Arabidopsis thaliana: one gene and its partner. The protein of the gene in region 2 interacts with the protein of the main gene of each other region in a pairwise test. Each region holds a gene or a part of one and is shown on either strand. Other genes may lie near its edges. The genes, in order: AT2G03430 and RPT3.

Region 1 (4,441 bases), on a different chromosome or scaffold from region 2:
GTTACATCTTATAAGACCAAAAGGGTATATGTAAAGTTTCAAGATTTGCACATTGTTGGCTCTGTTACATCATAAAAGACCAAAAGGGTGTGTGTAAAGTAACTTACTTTTCTTTGTTGAGTTTGGAATTCTCAAGTAATTTCTTGAGAAGTGGAGAATCTTTGAATCTGGCATCGTTCTCTGCGTAGAACTTCTGGTTTTTTGCTGCAATTAGCAAGCTTTTTCTTAGAGCAGAGAAACACAGTTTTTTTGTTCTTGAATTCAAGAAATTGAAAGATTGGTACCATTGAAACGGTCAAGGAACTCGATTTTTGGTAATTCAGGACCTGGAACTGATTCTATACCGGGAGATCCCGACATTAAGCCTGCTTCAGCTGAGGACCATCCATACATATACATATGATGCTGATGATGATGACACGCATATACATTGAATCACAGGAAAAGTATTGAGTAGTAGTGTAGTTACCGGTACAAGGAGAGAGGAGAAGGGTGAGTGAGGCAGCGAGAGGGAAGGTGGACTTGCAGAGAAGATGGTGAAACGGGGATGGTGCTGATGATGATAGAGCCATGGAGATACGAGGATGATGAATTACTCTTGGTTCATAGAGACTAAAGCTTGGTCGAGAGAAAGAAGAGATTTTTGTTTGCATCATTTTGCCTTTAGATTTTTGTGAGGAGGGTAAGTGACTCTTAGGAGATAAGAAGGATATATATAATTTTTAACCAAACAAAAAAAAAAACTTTTTTCTCACTTGTTTCCAAAATTGCTTTTGAGAAAATTTCTAAAGACAGAACATGAATTGATAAGGCAGAAACATTTTGCAAACATGATACAGTAAAGAAAAATCCTTTTAAGTAACTAAACAACTCTCAGAGTTAGTAAGTTTTAAAGTAATCCAGAGTCATTTTATCCTTCAAGCATGGCCTTAGCAGCATCGATAAGTGCAGGTCGGAATTCATTGGTAGCTCGGCCTAGAACAGTGTAGCCTTCCTTGTCTTCTACATCCACATCTGCACCATGTCTTATAAGCAGGAACGCAACCTGATCCATGGAAACTTTTAACTTTAAAGAAATGTTGCTTTTAAGGTTGATTAGATTGAAAATTTTACCTGTTTGTCATCGCAGATAACTGAATGCATGAGTGCAGTTTGACCCATTTTATCCGTAGCATCGATCTCTGCTCCTTCTTCAATAAGAAATTCACAAACTTCTAACTTTCCCACGCTTGCTGCCCTGTGAAGCGGAGTGCAACCAACCTAAAAGCCACACAAAAAAAAGTTTGTTTGTGTGTTGATGATCACAAGCAACAAGACATTAAGAAGCTACAAAACCTTGTCTGTGATGTTAATCTTTGCACCGTGTGTTAATAAAAGCTGAGCAATCTCCAACCGGCCTTTGCTAGCAGCATAGTGAAGAGCAGTGCGACCACCGTTATTTTTGGCATTGACATCAGCACCTAAACACAAAGAAAATGTCATCAAATGTATCCATCTTCTCATACATGCAATGAATTGAAGTTAGAGCTAAACACTGGAAGAACTACTTCACAGTAGGAACTTATATGTCCAATTCCAATGGAGGACTATTAGATATTAAGAGATCAACTACTCAGGACTGATAAAGATTACAGCTTTATGATAGCAAAACAAGATTTTACCACCGTTTCAACAACAATAAGGCACATAAGATTATGTAACATACCTCTGGTCAAAAGCACCTCAACGAGCTCAGCATTACCGATGCTAGCAGCGGAATGCAAAGGAGCCCATCCTTCATCATCCTTGCTATTGATTACAGTCTTTGCTTCATCTGAACTTGATAACAACTTCACTATCTGCAAATCCCACATCCATAAACATTTTTACACATACTGACACTGTTCCTAAAACACACTAATCTCAAGAACCCAAACAACGCAGATTCGTGTGGTTTTCAAAGCGAGACTCAAAAACTTCCCTTAAGGCTTTCTCATCAGTTAAACAACCTATTTACTGCAGCTATAGTAATCAAAGAGGTTATCTAACCACAGATTAGTTCTTAATATGATTGAAAAGAGAAAGGAACAAACTTGAGAATGGCCGAAGGAAGCAGCGACATGGAGGAGAGAGCGACCATCTTCGTTTCTGAAATTGAGAGATTTAGAGAGCTGTTCTTCAGATAATGACATGAACAACGATGAATCTCCCCATTCCGCTGCTTTGAACAACTCTTCGTCTCTCATCTGCTTTGCTGTATCGGTTGCAATTTCCATGATTGATCAAAGCTTCTTCTTCTTCCAAAGTTCGAATTCAGAAAATCCAGAGAAAGTGTACAAAAGATCAAAGACAAGAGACCCTAAATTAAAATTAAAACAATTTCTCCTAAAATAAGCAGAAAAAGATTAATTTCCCAACAAGAAAACAAAATGGATTCGCATATTGGGCCCGTTTATGGGCCTTTTACACAATCTCAGGACTTGCGTTTGGTTTATCTATCCGCTTTCAGTTCGTATTCATTCGGTTTTCAGTTTATTTTTCTAAAATTTAGTATTCATTCGCTTATTTTGAAATTTTGTTTCGCTATCGGTTTTGGTTCTTTTGGTTTCAAAATTTAGTATTCATTCGGTTATTTTGCTTTGAATATATTCGGATATTCGGTTATTTTTGGATATTTTCGGACATTTTCGGTTATTTTTGAGTATTTTTACTACTTTATCTATTTTCAGGTATTTTTAATTATTTTATTTGATCCAAAAATAATTAATATTTTAGAAAATATAATTATACTAGATTTTAACCCGCGGTATACCGCGGGGACAATTTATTTTTTAAAGTTAGTATATATAAAAATTTGTAAATTGTATCTATCTATAAAATATTTTATTTTATAGTTTACAACTGTTATTAAGTAACGTCCTCCCAAACCCGTCTCGCAAAACCCGTTCTGCAAAAAAAACCATTTATTTTATTAATGTTGATCTTATTTATGAATCATTGTCTAAATATTTTAGTCGATGCGGGATGTTGAACCCACACATTTTTTCGCCAATTGGTTAATATATGTTCATTTTTAAAAATTTTAATCACAAAATATGACGGAAATTTTTTTGAGATTTTTTTAAACTATATATTATATAATGATGTTAAAATTTTTGATATATTAAACTTTTTATAAGTTTAAATATTAATAATGTTTTATAAAGTTTAAATATATAAATATTTTAAAATATTTTTGCTTTTTAGATAATGACATAATAACTCTAAAAGCAAAGATTTAGAAGATTTAAATCGTTAATTAAATATTTTTCTTTCTAAATAATTAATTTCAGTAGCATGACATTGTAAATAAGTTCAAATACATGATTTATTTATTTAAACAAAAAACGTTTAGTAAGAATAATATTTATTTAAACAAAAAACTTTGTTTTAAAATATTGTTAACAAATACGTTTATGCTAATTTTAAGGGATTGATGTGAAGTTTGTTTGGATTAAATTTGATTGATAATGTGGTTGACAATTTAAATTAAGAATTTAAAGTAAAATTAATTATTTCGGAAAAAAAAAATTAATGCTAATGGCATTGAGTTGTAAATAAGTCCAACTCTAAGATTTATTTGTTAAAATGGCTGCAAAAATGTATTTATAGATTTCGGATATTTTTGATTATCCAAAATATTTTGGTTCCGTAGTAATTCAAGTTTCGATTCTTTTGATTATAATGTTTAGTAATTATTTTTAAATTTTTGTTTCGATTGACTTTATTTTGCTTTCCTATTTCAGTTCGATACATTAGGTTTAATTTATTTGCCAAAACCTAAAAATTATCATTTTCTTGTGTTTTTCCTCCTTCTTCTCAGGATAATAATTAGTTTATTTATTTTTAGACGGTCCATTTAAATTCGATATTAATTAGTATTACTTCCCATAACTTAAAGTTCGGTTCTAATTATACAAATATTTGATTAACGCAATCTCGAGTGGTCAACAACATGATACATGATCTTTAACATCATAATTTCCTCCATCATACACAAATGACAAATCCAACAGTTAATAATAATTCAGAAAAAACAACAGCTTACTAAAACAGTAATTATAGAAGATAATTACTAACATAATTATTTTTAGAAACTAAAACATTACTCACTTCATAAAACCTTGAGCCATCTTAGCATAATCTCCAAACCCATGACCACCTCCGGACTTCTCATCTTCTTTCTTAGCCGCCGGTGCTCCAGCTCCACCACCGTGTCCTCCAACATTACCGTGGCTTCCAGTTCCACCGGTGGAGGAGTGAGAGTGGGAAGTTTCGTACTTGTGAAGATATTGTTCAGCCTTTTCAAGGTACTGACCAACACCGCTCTTTTCATCGAGCTTACCGTATCTAGAAGCGGCGTCTAAGATATCAGCGGTGGCTCCGGCGACTTTGGCTTTGTCAAGCTTGTCTGACTCGTGAC
Region 2 (5,276 bases):
CAAGAGAATCACAAGCGATTTCAAGTTACCCTTCATCGTTACCGCGTTTCTTCTTCTCCTCCTTCTCTGATTCGTTTATCAATTTTGATTATTGAATCTCAGGATTTAGGAATTTCCCAGATTTCTAAGACTCTGACTCAGATTACAAAGAAAACGCCTCAGGTTTCGTGTTTTTTCCTTCCATTTCTGCTTCATTCCTAGTCCAATTTTGTAGCTTTACCACAATTTCAGCTTCTTCAGCAGCGTAATCACAAACCCATCGATAAAGCCCTCTTAGCTACTGCTGAACCAAGACGCTCTTCCCGTGTTCGTACCGTAATTTCTTCCTATCGCGATGATGTAATTTTCCCAGCTTTCTCTTACTTCTGTAATAGATTTTTCACAGCAATCAATCAACCCAATCCCTTGTCTCTTTTCAGGTCGTCGTAGACACTGGTCGTACTTCGAATCTGAGGAGATCGCGACATAGCTCTACATGGGCGACGTAAGTGCCCTGCTCCACAATTTTGCCCTAAAAAACTATCCTTTCATCTGATCAATTAGTTAAAATTCATCAGCTACATTTCTCGACCTCTCCATGAGTGCAAGTTTGCATCTTATGAAGAAAAGGTTGGAGCATTCAAGGCTGCAGAGAAGTTCCAGAGGAGCCTTAAATCTCCACATCCTTACTTTGTGAAATCTATGGTTCGCTCCCATGTTTACAGTTGCTTTTGGCTGGTACGTTCGTTCACAACACTTGTGTGTGTTTCTTCTTCAAGGATTTCGTGTTAGTACCTTACTTGACCTACATGGGTTTGCTTGCAAATTTCAAGGGGCTTCCTTCAAGATTCTGTGCAGACAATTTTCCTGAGGAAACTATGGAAATAGAACTAGAGGATGAAGAAGGCGAAGTGTATGAAGCAGTGTACATTGGTAGAAGAGCTGGACTCAGTGGTGGTTGGAAAAGGTTTGCTCTTGATCATAAATTGGATGATGGTGATGCTCTACTCTTTGAATTGGTTGAACCAAAGAAGTTCAAGGTATGTATGTGTCTTGAACAAGAGTCATGTGGTTGGAGTTAGTTGACATTCTCACATGTTGATTATAAAATGTTTGCTTGGTGCAGATCTATGTGTTTAAAGGAAATGAGAACGCTAATCTTACAAGCGCCAGAAAGAGAGGCAGAGCAACGACGCCAAGTGAAGAAGAAGAAGAAGAAGAAGATAAGGATGTTGAAGAATCAGGTGATGAGGAACACAGCTCAAGAGCCACTAAGAGATCATCCGTAAGGTTACTAAGGAAGAGGAAAGCATAAGAGAGCTTTCTTTTGTCTACATGCCCCATATATTTTTTTGGTTTTTGAGTGGGCTGCTAATACTACTAATACTAATGGCATATTTGTAAGTTTATCAACCCAAGGTAAACTTTGTTTTTTTCAATTTGAAAGTAGAACTGAAACTCTGATGAGCGGCTTTGGTTCGGAAATTTAAATTGTTTCCTCTCAGTTTTGGTTACTAGGCGATGATGAGCTATATACTTCTGATGATACCATTTAGACCAACTCCGTCACAAAATAAACAAATTAAAATGGAGAGAGTAAACGGGCTATTAAATATCAAAACTGGGCCTTACTATGACAAAAGGCCCATTTAATCTATTTTCCTTTTATTTAGATGAGTCGGCTCACAAATTAACATTTCTTTTCCTCTACTCCAAAGATATCTCGGTTCGCAAAAGTCTATTTAATTTCATAGCAATCTCACTTTTCTCTTCCCCCACCCTCAAAGATCTCTCAAAGAATGGCTTCCGCGGCTGTTGCATCGATGGTTCTTGACCCTAAAGCATCACCGGCCTTGATGGATCTATCCACCGCAGACGAAGAAGATCTCTATGGCCGCCTCAAATCGCTTGAACGACAACTAGAGTTCACCGATATCCAAGAAGAATATGTGAAAGACGAGCAAAAGAATCTCAAACGAGAGCTGTTACGAGCACAAGAAGAGGTCAAACGAATTCAATCCGTGCCTTTGGTGATAGGTCAGTTCATGGAGATGGTAGATCAGAACAACGGCATCGTCGGATCTACTACTGGCTCCAATTACTATGTCAGAATTCTCAGCACAATCAATAGAGAACTCTTAAAGCCTTCTGCTTCCGTCGCTCTTCACCGTCACTCCAACGCCCTTGTTGATGTTTTGCCTCCGGAGGCTGATTCTAGCATCTCCCTTCTCAGCCAATCTGAGAAGCCTGACGTCTCCTACAATGTAATGTTTCCTTTTTTCCAAATCTCGACTCTGTTTTCTGAATTAAAGTTAGGGTTTTTGAAACGATCTTTGGTTTCTTATGTGGTGCTTTATCTTTTTGTGTAGGATATTGGAGGATGCGATATTCAGAAACAGGAAATTCGTGAGGCTGTTGAATTGCCTCTTACCCACCACGAGCTTTACAAACAGATTGGTATTGACCCACCTCGTGGAGTCTTGCTCTATGGACCTCCTGGTACTGGAAAGACTATGTTGGCTAAGGCTGTTGCCAATCACACAACTGCTGCCTTCATTAGGGTTGTTGGATCCGAGTTTGTGCAAAAGTATCTCGGCGAGGTATTAAAAATCATAGCTTTATTGAAGGTTTAGGTCCTATTGAGCGATTCTATTTGGTGACTAACTGGTTTTTTAATTGCAGGGACCTCGTATGGTTCGTGATGTCTTCCGTCTTGCCAAGGAAAATGCTCCAGCTATCATCTTCATTGATGAGGTAGATGCCATCGCTACTGCTAGGTTTGATGCTCAAACAGGAGCCGATAGGGAAGTTCAGCGTATTCTCATGGAGCTTCTTAATCAGGTGAGAACAAATAATGAATTTTAGTTGTAATTCAGATCTTATGTTGTAGAATAATGGATTTTAGTTGTGTCCTTAACTTATTGTGTTGAATTCGATGTAGATGGATGGATTTGACCAGACCGTGAATGTCAAGGTCATAATGGCAACAAACAGGGCAGACACTCTAGATCCTGCTCTCTTACGTCCTGGAAGACTTGATCGTAAGATTGAGTTCCCCCTTCCTGATAGACGTCAAAAGAGGCTTGTTTTCCAGGTAAGTTAATTACTACAAGCACTTAAATAACTAGTTAAAGAGATATGAAACCAAATGTTTTCTCAAAAGAAAGTTTTGACTGATATCTTAGTTTCTGTCTTATTGATTGGTTTTTCCTTGTGTAGGTATGCACCTCCAAAATGAACCTTAGCGATGAGGTTGACTTGGAAGACTATGTTTCACGGCCTGATAAAATTAGCGCTGCTGAGGTTAGTTTATTTTGCTTACCATTCTATTCTTCCCGCTATAGTTTACTTTTACCATGATATATCCTCCAGTGTTTCTGGGTCACCACCTAATGATGTTCTTCAAAATATGCACTTGAGCATAATCATACTGTTTCAAGCATTATGTATGAATGTTAGCTGAGTCGTTTGTTAATCATTGTCCTGAACTGAATTGTTGAGAAATCAATTGTTGGCAGTAATATGGTTTGATTTTATCATGTACATGGGAATTGTTCCTAAAAAGATTGCATGTAATGATGATAGTTATTAATGACACTATTTTGATTTTATGTTGAACAATGCAGATAGCAGCAATTTGCCAGGAAGCTGGTATGCATGCGGTGCGAAAGAACAGATATGTGATACTACCTAAGGATTTCGAGAAGGGCTACCGCGCAAATGTTAAGAAGCCAGACACGGACTTTGAGTTTTACAAGTGAAGAGAAAGCAGAAGTGGAACCAGATTATGGCTGTTGTTAAAATTCCAGTGTGTTTTGAGAATTATTAAGGACATGGAATCAAATTTGCAGTTAAATTAAGAACTAAGTTGCATCTCCTAATTTCTGTAACTCGAGTTCACATTTGTTTTTAGTCTATCAGCTTTTTACAGTTTAATGTATAAGAAAAACTGGGGATGGTGTCCTTAGAATTGCCAGAGCATGGTAATAATTATGTCTCCTCTGATTAAAAAGACAACAAAAATAGTGATGATATTAGGAGCACGCTGCACTGCTCAATGTTCATAGAAAACTTCAGACTTCAATAATGCCTAAATGTGTTGGATCTTGTTTTGGAGTTGGTGATAGATGATGAAATGACCAGTATTACTATTACATAGTATCCGCAAATCAAGAATGATGCAAATCAAGAGAAAACAGTAGCAAGAGTGGTTGGACAGGTAAGAACTATTACCATATCTAAATGATTACTTTAAAAATAACAACTTGGATCAAGATGGTTTTTGTTTTCATGTATTTGTCATTTTGCTATCTCATAAGAATCTTAAGCTTGGTCAGTCTCTGGGTCTCTCTACATTAGCGTTTGTTGCGGTGTTTACACACCAATATGATTTGATCTAAAGACTCCTTTTGAAGACTGTCTTACCCTTAACGAATACGCCTCTTTTGTTTAACTTCACCACACTCTCTCTCTCTTTCTTCTTCTTCTTCTTCTTCTTCTTCTTCTTCTTCTTCTTCTTCTCCACTAGTCCCCACATACATTGCCTTTTCTTCTTTCTTCTCTTTCACCATTTCAAGATTGTGTTATAGTCCGCTCAATGCAGTAGAGTGCAGAGGTCTGAGCGCTCCATCTGCATAAGTTCTTCTTCCTCTATTGCTGAGTTCTTCAGTGCCCACAATTTTCTTACTTCGCTAGCTTACCTCTCTACTCCCAGGTTCTCTTTCTCTCTTCTTCTTCTTTTTGGTTTTTGTATTTTTCCTTTTAACTTTCTGTAATTGTCTGTCTCTCATTGTTGGGAATTATACTTAAAAATCGCCATTTTCTCCGGCTAGGTGGGTAGGAAACTTTCAAGACTTTAGATACAGGCTAGTGACGTGGTATATTAGTTCCAATTCGCTGGCTACACGTTGTTTGTTCAACAACTCCGATAAAAATCAGACACTCAAAACTCATCTTTATTTACTTAGTGACATTGTCCACATGATGGACAGACCTCTGCTTCTTTCTCTAGTGACAATATCTTTTGGCAAAAGGAGTCTGCTTTTCTTTGCTCATCAAAGTTTTGTGTTAAAGTTTGGCTCTTTAGCTTTATTCCTTTTGCTTTTTTTTTTGTGCTGGATGCTTCAATCTCTTATCTTAGCCTCTTGGATTGTTTAATCTCCCAATGATAAAGATAAAGATAGGCAATGGCATACTTTTTCTTGAAGATCTAACTAGTATCTTTATTTGTTTTTTCTTCCCATCTGTAGTTTTTTATATAACTGATATGCTTTTTTCTTTCACAACCGAATATTAGT

What was found.
Region 1: the proteins of RPT3 (region 2) and AT2G03430 interact in a two-hybrid assay, tested with the Arabidopsis thaliana proteins (one large-scale study listed by BioGRID).

Annotation. Positions count from the first base shown.
Region 1 is NC_003071.7:1,035,282-1,039,722, forward strand, and holds AT2G03430 (Ankyrin repeat family protein), read right to left. Parts: upstream 2,395-4,441; 5' UTR 2,256-2,394; coding exon 2,073-2,255; intron 1,839-2,072; coding exon 1,706-1,838; intron 1,461-1,705; coding exon 1,336-1,460; intron 1,261-1,335; coding exon 1,114-1,260; intron 1,046-1,113; coding exon 911-1,045; 3' UTR 727-910; downstream 1-726. Other genes in the region: AT2G03420 (uncharacterized protein), read right to left, coding at 108-204, 285-374, 470-656; NRP1 (nodulin-related protein 1), read right to left, coding at 4,128-4,441.
Region 2 is NC_003076.8:23,567,377-23,572,652, forward strand, and holds RPT3 (regulatory particle triple-A ATPase 3), read left to right. Parts: upstream 1-1,675; 5' UTR 1,676-1,778; coding exon 1,779-2,243; intron 2,244-2,348; coding exon 2,349-2,579; intron 2,580-2,661; coding exon 2,662-2,820; intron 2,821-2,920; coding exon 2,921-3,073; intron 3,074-3,198; coding exon 3,199-3,282; intron 3,283-3,605; coding exon 3,606-3,740; 3' UTR 3,741-4,478; downstream 4,479-5,276. Other genes in the region: AT5G58280 (AP2/B3-like transcriptional factor family protein), read left to right, coding at 1-162, 241-339, 420-484, 558-717, 813-1,019, 1,106-1,294. UniProt on the Arabidopsis thaliana protein: The 26S proteasome is involved in the ATP-dependent degradation of ubiquitinated proteins. The regulatory (or ATPase) complex confers ATP dependency and substrate specificity to the 26S complex.